Drosophila melanogaster: one gene and its partners. The gene in region 3 interacts genetically with the main gene of each other region. Each region holds a gene or a part of one and is shown on either strand. Other genes may lie near its edges.

What was found.
Region 1: of C3G (region 3) and RacGAP84C, changing one enhances a phenotype caused by changing the other (phenotypic enhancement), as found in Drosophila melanogaster (one study listed by BioGRID).
Region 2: of C3G (region 3) and ksr, changing one suppresses a phenotype caused by changing the other (phenotypic suppression), as found in Drosophila melanogaster (one study listed by BioGRID).

Annotation. Positions count from the first base shown.
Region 1 is NT_033777.3:7,283,959-7,288,228, forward strand, and holds RacGAP84C (Rac GTPase activating protein at 84C), read left to right. Parts: upstream 1-2,003; 5' UTR 2,004-2,146; coding exon 2,147-2,466; intron 2,467-2,602; coding exon 2,603-3,410; coding exon of another isoform or gene 3,411-3,434; exon of another isoform or gene 3,435-3,493; intron 3,494-3,530; coding exon 3,531-3,557; 3' UTR 3,558-3,671; downstream 3,672-4,270.
Region 2 is NT_033777.3:5,477,819-5,485,880, reverse strand, and holds ksr (kinase suppressor of ras), read left to right. Parts: upstream 1-1,974; 5' UTR 1,975-2,243; coding exon 2,244-5,144; 3' UTR 5,145-5,891; coding exon of another isoform or gene 5,892-6,035; 3' UTR 6,036-6,098; coding exon of another isoform or gene 6,099-6,248; 3' UTR 6,249-6,308; coding exon of another isoform or gene 6,309-6,494; 3' UTR 6,495-6,559; coding exon of another isoform or gene 6,560-6,763; 3' UTR 6,764-6,838; coding exon of another isoform or gene 6,839-6,995; 3' UTR 6,996-7,491; downstream 7,492-8,062. Other genes in the region: CG31550 (uncharacterized protein), read right to left, coding at 1-242; Hcs (holocarboxylase synthetase), read right to left, coding at 974-1,151, 1,222-1,553, 5,892-6,035, 6,099-6,248, 6,309-6,494, 6,560-6,763, 6,839-6,995.
Region 3 is NC_004354.4:6,788,003-6,792,900, forward strand, and holds the start of C3G (C3G guanyl-nucleotide exchange factor), read right to left. Parts: upstream 3,034-4,898; 5' UTR 2,221-3,033; coding exon 1,710-2,220; intron 1,050-1,709; coding exon 459-1,049; intron 392-458; coding exon 201-391; intron 124-200; coding exon 1-123. UniProt on the Drosophila melanogaster protein: Guanine nucleotide-releasing protein that binds to SH3 domain of Crk. Transduces signals from Crk to activate RAS. Also involved in MAPK activation.

The DNA of each region.
Region 1 (4,270 bases), on a different chromosome or scaffold from region 3:
GTTGCCATTGAAAAATACAATTTATTATAAATTGTTGTTTTTAGTGCCCAACTAGAATTGGGTTAGACAAAGCGACGATTGAGGCGGAATTCTTTAACAGGTTGTTTTGCGATTTATAGTTCAATTCACAAAAGGTCACTTAGTGAACTGATTTTTTGTCCTTAAAATCATATTGGTCATCTTATGTGTAGGCCAGCTTTTCAGAATTTGAATATCTAGTTTTATCCCACATACTGGTGGGTGTTAATATTTCTATTTCTATGTGGATATTTTAAGAGTGTTCCCTAGTAGCTAAATGATATACATCTGAGACTTTTAATTAATTAATTGCTGATTTCATGGTTTTAGTACAGAAAACCATGTGCTAAGATGTTTTTAAGCAACATCCTGAATCTATAACAATTGCGTTAAACTTTTTCATTCTGTTAAGAAGCTTTAAAGTTGAAATATTTTGAGCTCGATGCAACCAAATAATTCCTTAAATTTTGGAGGCACCGGATAAAAACATTTTGATCAACTTTTGTGTGTGAAAAATTAATTATCACCACGTGGCAACACTGTCAACGTGCTTTGATGCCATTTTTTCCCACTCGTTTTTGCCCAGAACTCCCCTCTTTTTTGTATGTTTTGTGGATGTCCAAACATTTTTTATGCTGTTTTGTTGTGTTTCTGTACTTTTTTTTTTTGCTTTTTGGAATACGCAACGGACAGACACACACATAGGGCCACACACGTATTTGAACACACACAGTCAGAGGCGAATCAGAAAAAGTACAAAAAAGCATTTTGGGAAAAGTGGAGTGAGGAGTGAGGCAGGGGATTGCATGGGCTTATTGCGATGCGTGACTCGTATTTGTGGACTTTGAATACAAACAAAACAGTCGGACACAGATAGAAGCCCACACAAGTGCAATTATGAATACTACGCCCACACACACGCCGCATAATCACAGAGAGAGACACTCTCACTCACTGCAATGTGTGCATTTCAATACGCATTAATAACTACGAATTCAATGTGGCAGTGGCAACCATCCTTAGTATTTCAGCCCAAAGCTCACACACACCTAAACCCACACCCTCAAATGCTCACGCACACATAGGCACACCGGCGTCAATGCAGCTGACGCCTAAAAAACGACTACAAAAAAGCATAAAAATCCAATTCCCCGCCTTGCTCGTTAATTTTGCTGGCGCTGCTCTTCAATTCACAGCCCAAAACTGAAAAGTGCCATGATAATTTTGTTTTTACTCTATCCAAACTTTAAAATCGCATAAAAATCAATGCCAATGATGCCATTAAATCAACAGACAGATCCATGTTTCGTTTTCCACAAAAGTTCCAAGCTCGAAGTCCCTTTAAATTCTAATTTTTGTGTTTTTTTAGCAGCACGTTTACTCAACATTTTCGCTTTCTGACGTTCCGGCCTCACATGAACTGCAGCATTTTTTCGTGCTACATTTTTGCTGGTTGCATTCTATGTCTGGTGGCCGCAAAACGGTTTTCCATGAATTTTTCATCCATTTAGCGGCGCCATTGAGCCATTTTCTGGGCGCTTAGAATTCATAGATACTTTAGCAAATTGTTTTTTTAGTTCGATTTTCTACATTCTTTTTGTTTTTAGGGATTTTTAGCTTTTGTATCGTGACATTGAATCTCGGTGTGATTGATTGTCTTTAACGATTTAATTGAATCGAAAATATAAAAAGATCACCACTGACTTGTTTATATGAAGAAGACAGGGCAAATATCTGTTATTGTTAGGCACAAAAAATGTTTATAATAATTTGATTCACTTTTTTTTTGTATTGAAAACAGCATTTTTGATATTTCTTAGTAACACCTTAGTCGCCCATTAAATTTCTGCGGAGCACCCTAGATGTGTGTATGAATTATCCAGAAATATTTACAAATGTACGACCCACAGTAGGCACTCTCTATGGGTGATCGAATTTTTGTGCTGCCAGAACTATTTAAGCTATCAGCTTTCACCCGATTCCAAATAAACCGTAAGAGTAAATAAACATTTCGGTCGAGTATTCGGAGAAGCGAGCCGATAACTTCTGCGTAGCTGACTCAAGCCGAAGTGGCCTCTCTTCGGAAATTGCCAACTGACCAGAACAGCTGAATCAATTCGCCAACTTTATGATTAGTGGCTCTGGGAGTCGGACGCCCTCAAATCGACTTTATTTGTCGCCCGTTCGCCCCACGATGCAGAACAAACGGAGGCTTCTGCGGGAGTACAGGTCCTACGATGACCTCAGCGAGCACTACCGCATGTTTGGATCGCAGTCCCTGGACTCGCTGCAGGATCGCGTGGACATGAATCCCAGTGGCTGCGATGGCTTATCCACGGACGGACTCGACTTCTGCTCGCAGTCCCACTCGGGGCTGCTGAGGGAGCACAATTTCAAGATTAAGTCCTACTACTACAACGTGGGGAACTGCGTACACTGCCGCAAAAGGTGAGTTGCAATCACCGAATGGTGGAACTTCTGAGAGGATTTCGAATTCAGGGAAAACATGAAAAGTTAAATAACATCCCAACCCTCTCTGACCAGCATTTACCTCCCTAACCGCGTGTCCCTGGTCTTCTTCCAGGATCCGCTTCGCCATGGCCAGCCTGAGGTGTCGGGCGTGTCCGCTCCGCTGCCACATCGGTTGCTGCCGCCAGCTGACGGTGAACTGCATCCCCCAGCCTCAAATCGGTACGAAGAGAGGATGTCTCAGCGATTATGCGCCTCGGGTGGCGCCCATGGTGCCGGCCTTAATTGTCCATTGTGTAACGGAGATCGAGGCGCGGGGATTGCAGCAGGAGGGACTCTACCGGGTGTCCTCCACCCGAGAGAAATGCAAACGACTGCGTCGGAAGCTGCTGCGTGGCAAGTCCACGCCGCATTTGGGCAATAAAGACACCCACACACTGTGCTGTTGTGTTAAGGACTTTCTTCGGCAGTTGGTTCACCCTCTGATTCCCATTTACCACCGAAGGGATTTCGAGGAGGCCACGCGGCACGAAGATCGTCTGGCTGTGGAGATGGCGGTATATTTAGCGGTTCTGGAGCTGCATCAGGCTCACAGGGATACGTTGGCCTACTTAATGCTTCACTGGCAGAAAATTGCCGAAAGTCCTGCTGTCCGCATGACGGTCAACAATCTTGCCGTGATCTTCGCTCCAACTCTGTTCGGAGATCTGGATCTAACCCTCGAAAATGTCGTCACTTGGCAGCGGGTGCTGAAGGTGCTACTTCTGATGCCTGCCGGATTTTGGTCTCAGTTCTTGGAGGTCCATCCCCTTCCCACTTCGTTGGGCAGCACCTATGACTTTGAGGACCGGTACAATCACCGTCACTGGGACAGCTCGTCCAATCTGGGATGGTCTTCTGTTAAGACCTACTTTAGATCAATGGTAAGACCTATGGTTTCCCTTTAACGGATTTGGATAGAATTTCATATTCGAATAAGCCAAACTCAATACAAGCAATCAAACATATCATACAAATCTTTCACTGAATACTTCCTGTTTCAGGTCAACCTTAGCAGTACTCACCTATAGTGAAAGTCTTATGACTGAGACATCGAGAATGGATGCAGTCACCCTTTTTTATTTTATTTTGTATTTTTTTTCATTATTCACTACAGTTGAAGAACTAATAATAATTGGATCTCTAACATGTTGTGTATGTGTTGTTGAATTATATGCGGCTAACAAGAGTACTTGACATCTCAAGTGCAATACTTGATTTATTGAATCACCAAAAGATACTCTCAGAAAACACCCATTATTTCCATATATGAAATTCGGCTAATTAAATATAAAGCCAGGCCAAAATCTTATTCGCACCACATAAATAATCTAGCATGGCCCAGAGCGACGTTATCGCAAAACTATATATTTCGAGTATTGAAACATTAATAAACATTTTTAATTGAATTTGCAATTTTTTTCGCCGAACGTTGATTAATTCCCAACCGTTGAAAACATGTAAAAAATTAATAATTTCCATTTCCCATATTTATGTTTCTTTGAAGCGTAAACCAAAGCACAAAGTAAAATATTTTGCCGCGAACACATATAAATAAGTTAAAGCGCCAAGAAAAAAGTTAGCATTTTAAAAACAATTTGGAGAGTGCCGTGCAAAAAAGTGCGGCCATTAAATGCAAAAAACAAGCAAAGCAAAACAAAACTCGAATGCACTGGACGAGTGCATAAATAGACTCACTCCCAATATCAGTCGATCCGATCCCAAGCCAATACTCGTACATGGT
Region 2 (8,062 bases), on a different chromosome or scaffold from region 3:
GTGTCCTGGACGGCGGTGTCCAGGTATCGGGCATCCTCCTCATACTCCACCTCGTTGCCAATGGGTTTTCCCACAGTCGTCTCGGTTTTCAGCTGCGCTGCCAAGTTCTGCGCCGCGGCCACCGCCTTCGCCAGCTGTGCCGTCTTCTGCTTCTCGAGGATCTCTTGCCGTTTCTTGGCTATGATCTCCTCCTGCTTTGTCATCTGGGCGAAGCGGTCCACTCTGTGATTTCGCTGTGACATAATTCCCAATGCCGCAGACTCCGTTTTATTCCACAATTTTCTTTTCCAGCAAAGCAACAGTGTAACCAACTCACATACTTGGAATTATACCAAGTCTTCGCATCACCAGTGTTGACAATTTTATAGGAAACTACACTGTCAAGCTCTCTTTAGTTCAGTTCAAAAAAATTTTAAAAAATATAACTTTCTAATGAAAGTTCAGTTCAAAAAAAAATTTTAGAAGAATAATAAAATAAACAATTTTAGAATAAAAAAATTATGTAATAAAAAAATCCATCTTAAATTTAAGATAAGACCTGTGCGGCAGTTAATCTCAGTGGTCTAAGGTCAGCAATGATCGAATATGTATTTATTAAATTCAAATTTCAAAAACACCCGTATGCAGAGGAATCGATGGCGATAACAATGGTAACAAACGCGATTATCTTACGAAGTAATTTCCAAACACTGGTTTATAGGGAACAAACAAATGTACCTGTCATTATAAATATTTTGAGACTTCCTTTAACATATAATTCTCTTTGGCAGTATTTAATTTAGTGGATTAAATTATCCATTATTATTTCGTAAAGCCACTTAAGAAGAATCACCTTGTAAATATTTATAAGGATAAACGTTTTTACGTAGTTATAAATTGACCTAAATTTGCCTAAAAAGTACAAGTTGCTTAAGGGCCAATTAAACTAGAGGGTTCGGGGAATAATATGAGTTTTCACATCTGCTTCATTTCACTATTGATACTTGGGTATAATCAATCCCTTCAACATATCAAAGCTGTTTCCATCGGGCTGCACAATTTCTATAGTACCAGTTGGTAATTTCACCTCCAAAAATCCAAAGTCATCGATTCCCACAATTTCGGCCTCTTTTTCCTGATCTTTTTGTAGGCAAATCTTAACAGATTGCCCGCTGTACATAAAAACATGTTAGTAAATGTAATATGCAAATTAAATGTATTTTAAAAATGTTTTAAATTTACCTGTGTAACCATAGCGAATAGTATAATGCATAAAAACTATCAAAGTCTCCGTTTTGTACTTCTCCCAAAAGTCTTTCGATTTCATTGAATATCATGGCAATAAGTAGCTCGTACTTAAGTATAGGTAACTTGTTGTTCGGGACACGGGTATTATATTCTCTTATCAAGTCATTGATGCAAACTGTTGGTCTTGAATTGTTCAAATTAATTCCACTTCCGATATTGACGATGGCTTGGGATCCCTGAAGTGTGGTATTAATGACGAGGCCCCCAATTTTCTGATTTCCATTTGCATAAATGTCATTCGGCCACTTAATGGAAATATCCAGCACCTGAAGGTGATATGAATAAATTAAGTAAAACTCGCCTATCTCCGTAATATTACATATCATAAAATATAAATTGGAACATCAAATATTAACTTAAAAAAATTATTTTTAGTTATAAAATTAAAATATTAAAATAATATCTACCTAATTTCCATTTCCAAATAATAAAATATAAATATTAAAATATTTGACTTATTTCGACTAATAAAATAAAAATGTGAAAATAATTTCTGGATTAATTTTTCAAATAGAATTGAAATATATATGCTATATACACTCGAAGACATAATATAATTACAACATAAGAATAATAATACTTAACGTTCTATTTTTTTTAAATACAGAGGAGTGCCCCTAAGTTTTTCGGATAAGTGCTTTTAGTACATTTTGGTGTGCAGTGAGAAGGAGTCCTCCCGGGTATGGTCACACTTCTCTCGATGCGCTACTTGGGTGTAGAGAAATTTCAACAACAGCCGAGGAACTTGTACAAATTATTGCTTTTTCGCATTGCCTAAGCCGTTTAGAGTTGCGGGCGTTAGCGTGCGCGATAGCCGGAGCACCGAACGTCAAGGTCGCTTGGCGAGGGCCACAATGCGGGGCGGAGTCCCAGCCATTGGTCCCATCGAATCGTCGAGTCCCCGAGGGGGCGTCTGAAAAAATCAATCGGGCTCCACTCCGTCGCGAATAAGCAGGATGAGCAGCAACAACAACGCACCCGCATCGGCTCCAGACACGGGCTCCACCAATGCCAACGATCCCATCTCCGGTTCGCTGTCCGTAGACAGCAACCTGGTTATCATTCAGGACATGATTGATCTCTCGGCCAACCATCTGGAGGGCCTGCGAACGCAGTGCGCGATCAGCTCCACGCTGACGCAGCAGGAGATTCGTTGCCTGGAGTCGAAGCTGGTGCGATACTTCTCCGAGCTGCTGCTGGCGAAGATGCGGCTAAATGAGCGCATCCCGGCCAACGGGCTTGTGCCCCACACAACGGGCAACGAACTGAGGCAATGGCTGCGCGTAGTGGGCCTTAGCCAGGGGACTCTTACCGCCTGCCTTGCTCGCCTGACCACTCTAGAGCAAAGCCTGCGTCTCAGCGACGAGGAGATCCGTCAACTCCTGGCTGACAGCCCCAGCCAGCGAGAGGAGGAGGAACTGCGACGCCTGACCAGGGCCATGCAGAACTTAAGGAAGTGCATGGAGTCGCTGGAGAGCGGTACTGCGGCTAGCAACAACGATCCAGAGCAGTGGCACTGGGACTCCTGGGACAGGCCCACCCACATTCATCGCGGCAGTGTGGGAAACATTGGACTGGGTAACAATTCAACCGCCTCCCCGAGAACCCATCATCGCCAGCATGGTGTCAAGGGAAAGAATTCCGCTCTGGCCAACTCCACCAACTTCAAAAGTGGCCGCCAATCGCCCTCAGCGACAGAAGAGCTGAACAGCACACAGGGTTCCCAGCTGACTTTAACCCTTACGCCCTCGCCACCCAATTCGCCCTTCACGCCTTCCAGTGGGCTGAGCAGCAGCCTTAATGGAACACCACAGAGGAGTCGTGGTACCCCGCCGCCAGCTAGAAAGCACCAGACCTTGCTGAGCCAGAGTCATGTGCAAGTGGACGGGGAGCAATTAGCCCGCAACCGTTTGCCCACTGATCCCAGCCCCGATAGCCACAGCTCCACCAGCTCGGACATCTTTGTGGACCCAAATACTAATGCCAGCTCCGGAGGAAGTTCCTCGAACGTGCTTATGGTGCCATGCTCTCCGGGCGTGGGTCACGTGGGCATGGGTCATGCAATCAAGCATCGTTTCACCAAGGCCCTGGGCTTCATGGCCACCTGTACCCTGTGCCAGAAGCAGGTCTTTCACCGCTGGATGAAGTGCACCGACTGCAAGTACATCTGCCACAAGTCATGCGCACCGCACGTACCGCCCTCCTGTGGACTTCCACGAGAATATGTGGACGAGTTTCGGCACATAAAGGAGCAGGGAGGATACGCCAGTCTGCCGCATGTGCATGGCGCGGCGAAAGGATCCCCTTTGGTAAAAAAGAGCACCCTGGGTAAGCCCTTGCATCAGCAGCACGGCGATAGCAGTTCGCCGAGTTCCAGCTGCACTAGTTCCACGCCCAGCAGTCCGGCGCTGTTCCAGCAAAGGGAGCGCGAGCTGGATCAGGCGGGCAGCAGCTCTAGCGCCAATCTGTTACCTACGCCTTCGCTTGGCAAGCACCAGCCGAGTCAATTCAACTTTCCCAACGTGACGGTGACGAGCAGTGGCGGAAGCGGTGGTGTATCGCTCATCTCCAATGAACCAGTGCCAGAGCAATTCCCCACGGCGCCTGCAACAGCCAACGGAGGACTTGATAGTCTGGTGAGCAGCTCCAACGGGCACATGAGCTCGCTCATCGGTAGCCAAACTTCAAACGCTTCTACTGCGGCCACCTTGACGGGCAGTCTGGTCAATAGCACAACCACCACCAGCACCTGCAGTTTCTTTCCGCGAAAATTGAGCACAGCCGGTGTGGATAAGAGGACGCCGTTCACCAGCGAGTACACGGATACCCACAAGTCAAATGACAGCGACAAGACAGTCTCCTTGTCTGGAAGTGCCAGCACGGACTCGGACCGGACACCCGTTCGTGTGGATTCAACGGAAGACGGAGACTCGGGACAATGGCGCCAGAACTCGATCTCACTCAAGGAATGGGACATCCCGTATGGTGATCTGCTTCTGCTCGAGCGGATAGGGCAGGGACGCTTCGGCACCGTGCATCGAGCCCTTTGGCACGGAGATGTGGCGGTTAAGCTGCTCAACGAGGACTATCTGCAAGACGAACACATGCTGGAGACGTTTCGCAGCGAGGTAGCCAACTTCAAGAACACTCGACACGAGAACCTGGTGCTGTTCATGGGAGCCTGCATGAACCCACCATATTTGGCCATTGTGACTTCATTGTGCAAGGGCAACACCTTGTATACGTATATTCACCAGCGTCGGGAGAAGTTTGCCATGAACCGGACTCTCCTCATTGCCCAGCAGATCGCCCAGGGCATGGGCTACCTGCACGCAAGGGAGATCATCCACAAAGATCTGCGCACCAAGAACATCTTCATCGAGAACGGCAAGGTGATTATCACGGACTTTGGGCTGTTCAGCTCCACCAAGCTGCTCTACTGTGATATGGGCCTAGGAGTGCCCCACAACTGGTTGTGCTACCTGGCGCCGGAGCTAATCCGAGCATTGCAGCCGGAGAAGCCGCGTGGAGAGTGTCTGGAGTTCACCCCATACTCCGATGTCTACTCTTTCGGAACCGTTTGGTACGAGCTAATCTGCGGCGAGTTCACATTCAAGGATCAGCCGGCGGAATCGATCATCTGGCAGGTTGGCCGTGGGATGAAGCAGTCGCTGGCCAACCTGCAGTCTGGACGGGATGTCAAGGACTTGCTGATGCTGTGCTGGACCTACGAGAAGGAGCACCGGCCGCAGTTCGCACGCCTGCTCTCCCTGCTGGAGCATCTTCCCAAGAAGCGTCTGGCGCGCAGTCCCTCCCACCCCGTCAACCTTTCCCGTTCCGCCGAGTCCGTGTTCTGAGGGAACTGCAGCATGGCCACTGTCACTGTCTAGTACAATTTCGATCTACCAACTAAGCTAGCTCGCTTTGTGCCCTCGTCCACTCTACACAAACTCTCTCCCAAGGCGAAGTTCTATCGAGCCGAGCGAAGATTGTAAATACATAAACGTAACTACCAAATTATAGCAATCCATTTTAAAAACTACATACATATGTGTAGGCATGTATCGGGAGCACTCCAGTTGCAGTTGTTAGCAAACGAAACAAAGGCAAATCAAATGTTAACTCGAAAAAGACAAAACGCTTAAATGTTTAAGAGCAGAGGCAAACAGAGAAGGCATAGACATACATATACAAACAAACAAACAAGCACTGTGGCAAACATAAATGTAAACGTTAATCAGGTGAGCAATTTCTAAATTGTTAATTATGTGTAAGAGAACTATATATATATATATATATATATATATATATATATATATATATATACATGTATATACAGCAGCAATGTATTGTATATGACGGACTAGTGTTAAATTAAATATATATTGTGAATTATGTATGGTCAAGTGTATATAGTAAATGGACTTTAAATGCGAAATCGAAACAAAATGTCAAATAAACTTATTAAACCTAAAAAATCACTTTGTGCACTTGGCAGTTTTACAGATCCTGAGGTTCGTCCCATCGTCCCACAGGCGGAGATAATCGAAACAATCTTAACTTAAGATTCAACTAAATGGTAAAACTTTACAGTCTTGACTCACCCCGTACTCTTCATGACTGCGGAGCGAATTAACAATCGCCGTTCCAACAAGGTGCTGCAACAGAGGCAGCCGAGAGCTCAAAGCGCTGTCCATGGTCAGGTGCAGCTGCAGCGAGAACATGGCACAGCCCGGCGGACTAAGCCACTGGAAAGCACAAAGCGATGATTTCAACAAGAACTTAAATCTGGATGCTTCTAGAGTACTAACTTGATTATTTCTGCGACCCACTCCGGACGTCTGCTGCACGGGGAGCACAGCCAGGCCGTGGATGAGCTCCAGGTTGTTTATGAGATGCATGGAGCTGCTGACCACCGGTGCATAGATGACCAGTCGTCCGATGTGTTCCGTCTTAAGATTCTTTAAAATAAGAGGAATTTGGGTTAATTCTGCTATAGACTAGAATTAGAATGCGCTCACATCGAAGTAATCCACGGTGGAGAAGTCATCCGGACAGGAATGTATGAGTATGGGCAGGACATTGTTGTTGGCCACTGGAGGCTTATCGTCCTTGCCACAGAACTTCATCGTCAGGTTCGGCGTTGCTATCACGTTGTCGGATCCGCTGCAGCGCAGACGTAGCTTCTCCAGAAGCTCAAACTTGGCCTGAATAACAAAAAGAGCTAGAATATTGGATTCTGATGCCAAAACAAATGGAGAGACGAACTGACCTCGTGCCGACCTAGGAAATATGCGTGCTTGTAGACAACTCCAGGCTGCGGCTGGTCGACACCGTCTCCACCGCGGACCTGCACATCCAAGTACTTTCCCAGGAGATCCGCAAATATCTCGAGGCGAGTTCGCTCGTTTTGCTTTAGAATGGAGTACTTAGTCTCATCGGATTCAAATTCGCTGGGATTCATTTCCAAGTGCACCTGTTTTTTTTTTTGTTTCATAGGAATGTTTTTTTTTAATATATGTTTGTTATATTTACATGAGCAATCACTTACTTGGGAGAAGACGGCCTTTCCGCCGCTCTGCAGGCTTTTGGCCAACATCAAGCTGGGCGTATTCCAGGTTTCCTCGGTTCCCAGCACATGGACATCCAAATTGTGGCTGTGACCGGCCAGATCCTTCAGTTCCATGGACCTTGGACATACTAGAGCTCTGAGCAGCGTTTCGTGGTTTGATTTGTGTTTTTTTTTCGATTTTTGTTTGTTTTTGGTTTGTTGTTATTTTAGTTATTGGTAGGATGGATTATAATAGTGATAGCACACACATATAGAAGCACACGCAGAAATTTAAGGATTTAGAAGGTAAACGTAGCAGGATGGTGAAAAGGTTTGAAATGCCAAATGTTTATAACACAATTAAACAATTAAATTACATGGATGGCACATTCAATCGATAAAAAACAAGAGTTAAGAGAGCTTACAGAAAACATAGATAGGTTAGTTAGTTAGGCGGATTGAAAACGGAGTTTAGATAGATGGATTACAGTGCACACCGAATCAAATAGAAATTAAGCCATATTTAGAGTAAACGAGACCAATTTGAGCATGAAACATTTGAGAAATAAAATGAGAATTGGAATTGGTTAGAATCGGTTTAGTATAAGAACGATTAATTAGGATTAATTCATTTCATTTCAAGCCCCATTCAGAAAAAGTAATAATATACATAAATGAAACAAGACAGGAGGTTGGTTTCGGCAGGCCGAAGTTCATATACCCTTGCAGAAATTACATATGTATATGTCAAGAAAAAATATAATACAAATTAAAACGGGAATTATATATTCCATTTTTATTTCATTTATTTTTCGATTATTCCTATGGAAGCTATAAGAAATAGAGGACCGATTATTCCCTTTTCTTACTTACATATTTCAGGAGGAAGTCTTTTCATGCAAACAGCTTTAAAACTGAGAGGCTAGAATCCTTAAAACTGGATGAACAGACGGACTTGGCTGGTAAAACTGATCAAGAATGAAGAAAGTGCCTTTTAACCCTTTAAGCCCTGAAAACTTCTGACTGGAAGATATATACCTTCTGCAAGGGTCTAAAAAGTAAAGCGTTATAACTTGGCCTCTTTTTTACAATTTACCCGACGGCTGTGCAATAATCGACTTGAATAGGGCTTTCGGGTGTATAAAACATGCAACATTTCGGTTTCAAATACACTGATACTCAGTTAATGGGCTATTTGTTATTGGCACTATTAAGAAGATCGGC
Region 3 (4,898 bases):
CGAGGCGGTGACCGCACCCATGATCTCCGCCGCCGCTCCAATGCCGCCCAAGCCAGATCCACTGTAGCGAAAGGCGCACTGATCCTGCTCCTTCAGCTTGCCCTGCGCCAGCGTAACGAGATTCTGTGCACGATCATGAAACATCATCGTATTTATTATAGCAATACACTGTGTACTAGGTTAGTGTTAATTGGACTTACCCGCACAGCATCCTCGAGAAGATCAATGACTTCCCGCACATTCTCGTTGCTCAGGGAGGCGCACTCGCCGCTGTCCTCGGAGAGCATCACCTCGTCGCAGAGCTTGATGAGCTTGCCCAGGCTCTGGTAAACCTGCAGCGTGGCGCTGCTCATGATGGCACTGTTTTCATTCAGGGTATAGGTTTGGATCACTGCGGCAGCAAAGGAAAGCAACTGGATTAATTACAAAACGAGGAAATTGGGGTAGTAGATACTCACCGGAGTACATGCTGGCTATGGTTTCCAGAATGACCGTTCCGTTGCCCGGCAACACCTCCAGCTTCTTCTTGAGTATAACATCCCGGAAGTGCTTCAGGGCATTCGAAATGTCCTTGACGTGCGTCTCCAGGGTTTGGGTGGACCGTAGCACCTCCTCGGTGGTGGGCGGTGCCTTTGTGCCGTGCTTGGTGCGCGGACTGTGCGGCGAGTGGGAGCGACCCAGTGTATTGTTGGTGGTTCGCATCAGGGAAATCTTCTCGATGAGGTCGTCCTTAAAGGAACGCGCCCGGCGCGCTAGCTTGGTGCCCTTGAGACTGTTCTTGTGGCCCGAGGATCCGGCACTGGGTGGTGCCGGTGGTACACCACCACCTCCGCCTGCTCCTGCTCCCCCTACCCGACTAGATCCTCCCGGCGTGCCCTGCAGCTGCTGGTGCTGCGAGTGATGCTGATGCGTGGGTGGTGGCGGAGTGCAGGCGGTGGAGTAGCTGCCGCTGTTGATGCTATTGTTGCTGCTGCTGCTGCAGCCGCCACCGCCCACTCCGATGCCACTGGAACAGGTGCCGGGCGTGGATGGAGAACTGATGCTGCCGTCTGCAAAAAGAGCAAGAAATCGGGGATTATTAATCTAAGGTAGGTACACTTAATCAATTCATAGGCATTAGATAACAATATACGTTTTTGGGTAACAATAATAAGAGACTAAGACTGGAATCTAGATCCTATATATATACACATATCATGGGCTTAGAGTCTTTCCTGTTCGAGCCGCATTCTTGAATGCCAATTTGAAAATCAAAAGTTGCTCCATATAAAACCACAATCTTTTGCAATATATGGCAATGTTGGTATCGTTTCGTTTCTTACTTTTCTTCATTTGGTTAGGTAAGATGAATATCTTAAGGTCATCGTATACATCATTCTAAAGTGGCTAAGCCAGCAGCGAAAATGAAAATCTTTCAGAGTTAGCCAAACAGCTTGAGGAATCTTGAAAAGATTCATCATTACCCCTTCACAACACAATATATGTACATATGTACTCATTCGAATCTTGAAACGTGTCTACTTAAATGTGAAATAATTGCAATTGAAATCAACATATGTAATACGGAATTCCTAGCATTCCCCATTTCGGGAATCGTTCATGCGAGCCCAAACATTTTAGTTTCGGAACTTTTTTAAAGATCCAAAACAGCGAGAAACCGATGAGCACCACCCACCAAGCGAAAAGACCGGCGAGTAGCTTTCACTTACGGCACACCGCATTCTTGAGCGGCACAGGTGTGTCCATCTCCATATCGAACTCCCTATCCACGGTCACATTCACATCGACATCCACATCCATCTGCAGTGGAATCGCTGGCGTTGATAGCGCCAATCGTGCCAGCTTTTTGTATTTGCGACGTCTGTGGAATTTGATGCTATGCAACGTGTTGCCGGTGGCACTGATGCTGTTGCAGGTGTTACTGCTGTTGCAGTTGCAGTTGTTGCTTGTGAGGCTATGATTGTTGTTGGTGTCGCGCGGCGACCACGACTGCCGCTGAGTCTTCCAAAGACGATGATGATTGTGATGGTGCTGTTGATGATGATGATGATGGAGTTGGTGCTGATGGTCATCGTGGCTGGCACCGCTGGGATACGGATTCCGATTCCGATTCGGTTTCGGACTCGGATGTGGCGGCAATTGCTTGACCGTGTACGAATAGAAATGCCAGCGGTCGGCGAGCGCACAGTCGCTCAAAAAAGATTCATCAAACTGCGGCATAATGTTGCATAATGACAGCAGCAGCAGCAGCAGCAATAACAACAGCAGCAACAGCGACAGCAACACGCATAACAACAATTTGTTGTGGCTTAAATATGCTTGGCCAAAAGACACACACGTTGGCCTAACTGATTTCTCCAAATAGCGATAAGCGATAGCAGCAACATCGTTTTCGTATAAGATTGTTGATTTAAGCGATTGCCGTCGCGATTACAACATCAATTCATTTTTCTGTTTCGGCATGTTTTACATTGATTATTTCACTTTCAGTTTTCGGTTGTTTCAGTGTTTTCGGAAAAAGTTTTAAGCACTGATAAAAGCTATATCCGATGTGCTCTGCCAGCAGGAAGTAGATTTCAATTGCTTTCTCATCATGTTCGTTCACTTTTGCAATTCGTTCGATAGTCCGATAGGCAATTCAAGCGATTACCGATTCAAGCTTCCTGTGGCAACCGCAAGAATTGTTCTGGACACTCTTTGTTTGACTGAAATACAAGTATGCCAGCTTAGAGATCACTTCAATTGGCCATAGTGATTTCCGTATATTATTTTCTTTAATGTTTAAAAGCCATCAAGCCCTAATTTCCGTTTCTTACTGCCTGCCCGATTGTGGTAAATTGAAGGTAATCAACTCCAAAGCCACTTGTCTTTTGCTTTACTTATATTTCAAGTGCGATTTCCGCAATTTTCCCCAATAGCTTTCCATTCGCCGCACAGTCACTTTTGCATTTCTGAACTTGAAATTTCAACAGGCTTCGGCTGATTGATTCAATCGCCGATAAGCGATAAGCTAACACTTTTGGCCTGCCACTCTCAGTGCAATTTCTTTCACTTTTCAAGTGCAATTTGGCGCTCTTTTCTTTGATTTTTCATCATCCATCCATCCATCCATCTCGTTGGCGCACCGCCCCCGCAGTGGGCTATCTATCTGGTTGGCCTCTGGGTGAGGAGATGTTGATTAAATAAATCACAAATAAAGATGATTATATTTAGACACTGGCGCTCTGCTGCTGCTGCTGCGGCGGCTGTCGTCGTAGTCCGTTCGCGATGTTGTCGTTGTCGACTGGAAAGCGCACTGAACTATGAAAATCCGCAAAACGGGCAAAGCCAAAGACGACCGACCGACTGAAAGACCGACCAGGCGGCAAAAGCGAGTGTCCGAGTCTTGGAGACCCGCTAACCGGCCAACGGCAATGGCAACACATTAGCAATATAGCAATACAGCAATAGCAGCAACAACAGACGCAGCAGCAGCAGCAGCAGCAACACGAGAGCCGCCGAGGGGGCAAAAAAAAAAAAGAGCCCCAAATGGCACTTGCCCACCTGGCAATCGCCCTCTCACCATCTCTCCTGATCTCTCCTGCTGCTCTCGCCACATCGCTCTTTCTCTTTCCGAGATTCATCAAACAAATCATACATGTTCACATCACTGATGGACCAAACGGGTGCTACAAACGTATCCATTCAATGTGGCTCGGAAATCGTGCAAATATTCAGTATATATTTACGATAATATTTCTATTTTAAAATGACAAGTTACTTTACTGTTTATACTTGCAGGTACACCCCCCTTTCTCGCAGTGCAGTCCGCGGTTTGCGGCTCTTTTCACCCGGGAGGCTGCTCTCCAACCGTCGGCCTCTCCGCCCAATTATCAATCAGCTGGCGCACCTGAGAAAGAGCCCGTGGCGAAGGGTGAGGGGGCGGTAATTGGGGGCGACAAGGGAGTGGTAAAGGGGGGGGGGTGAGGTGGATGCGGGGCAAGAGACAAGAAGACGCCGGGCGGATTTCTTCAATTTGCAAGTGCCGCTCGTGACTTGCCTTGGAAATCAACTAGCTGCTGCGCAAATGGGCGAAAATCGAAGGCGTCGCCAAAAGTGAGTACAGCAAGCAAGAAAATAAATAAGAAAATAAATATAAAAAAAATATATAAAAAACTATATATCTCAAGCAAAAGCTTACAACAAAACAAGAGAGCAAGTCAATAAGCCCCCACTAACTGAAATGTATATGGAAAGCAGGAAAAAAACAACCCAAGTGGATCGGGTTAGCGGCCAAAAAGAAAGGCCATCCTTGTAATGGGTAATGGCCAAAGGGTGGAACTGAATCCTTGGCTTAAGGTTAAGGCCAAGTTGAAATCCTAGCCAATGGCTCAATTAAAATAGAATAAAGCTTGCCTGCGTCCAGTGAAAAGTTCGAATATCAAGGTCGTCGTAGTTCGTTGCCTCTCTAATAGGACCTTAAACGAGCTTCGACTTTCTATGAATTTAAAACTAGTCATGCCTAGTAGTGCTAGTTGTTTCAACAAAATTAGCTTTGAATTCCAATAAAAACTGTTAATTAAAATCGAATAACATTCTGGAGAATTGTAAAAAACAAAGAGCGGGCAATGCTTTACATTAATTTCCGGGAACTAGCAATTGCGAAAAAATTTCAGTTTTTGACCCAGTGCCCGAAATGGGCTTTGTTTTCGGGCACTCGGTCAGCCACCACCCACTCCTCCAGTACGAGATGGCAGCACTAGGGAGCAGCAGCAGTCACGTTCACCCAATTAATTTGGCACACCGCACAAATGGGAAATTGTAAGAGCAGCCAGGCCGGCGAAGACCCCAAAAACCAAAACCCGATATCACTTGAAGGCGACGCAAGTCGAGAGGAGAGCCACTTTGCATGATTAGGA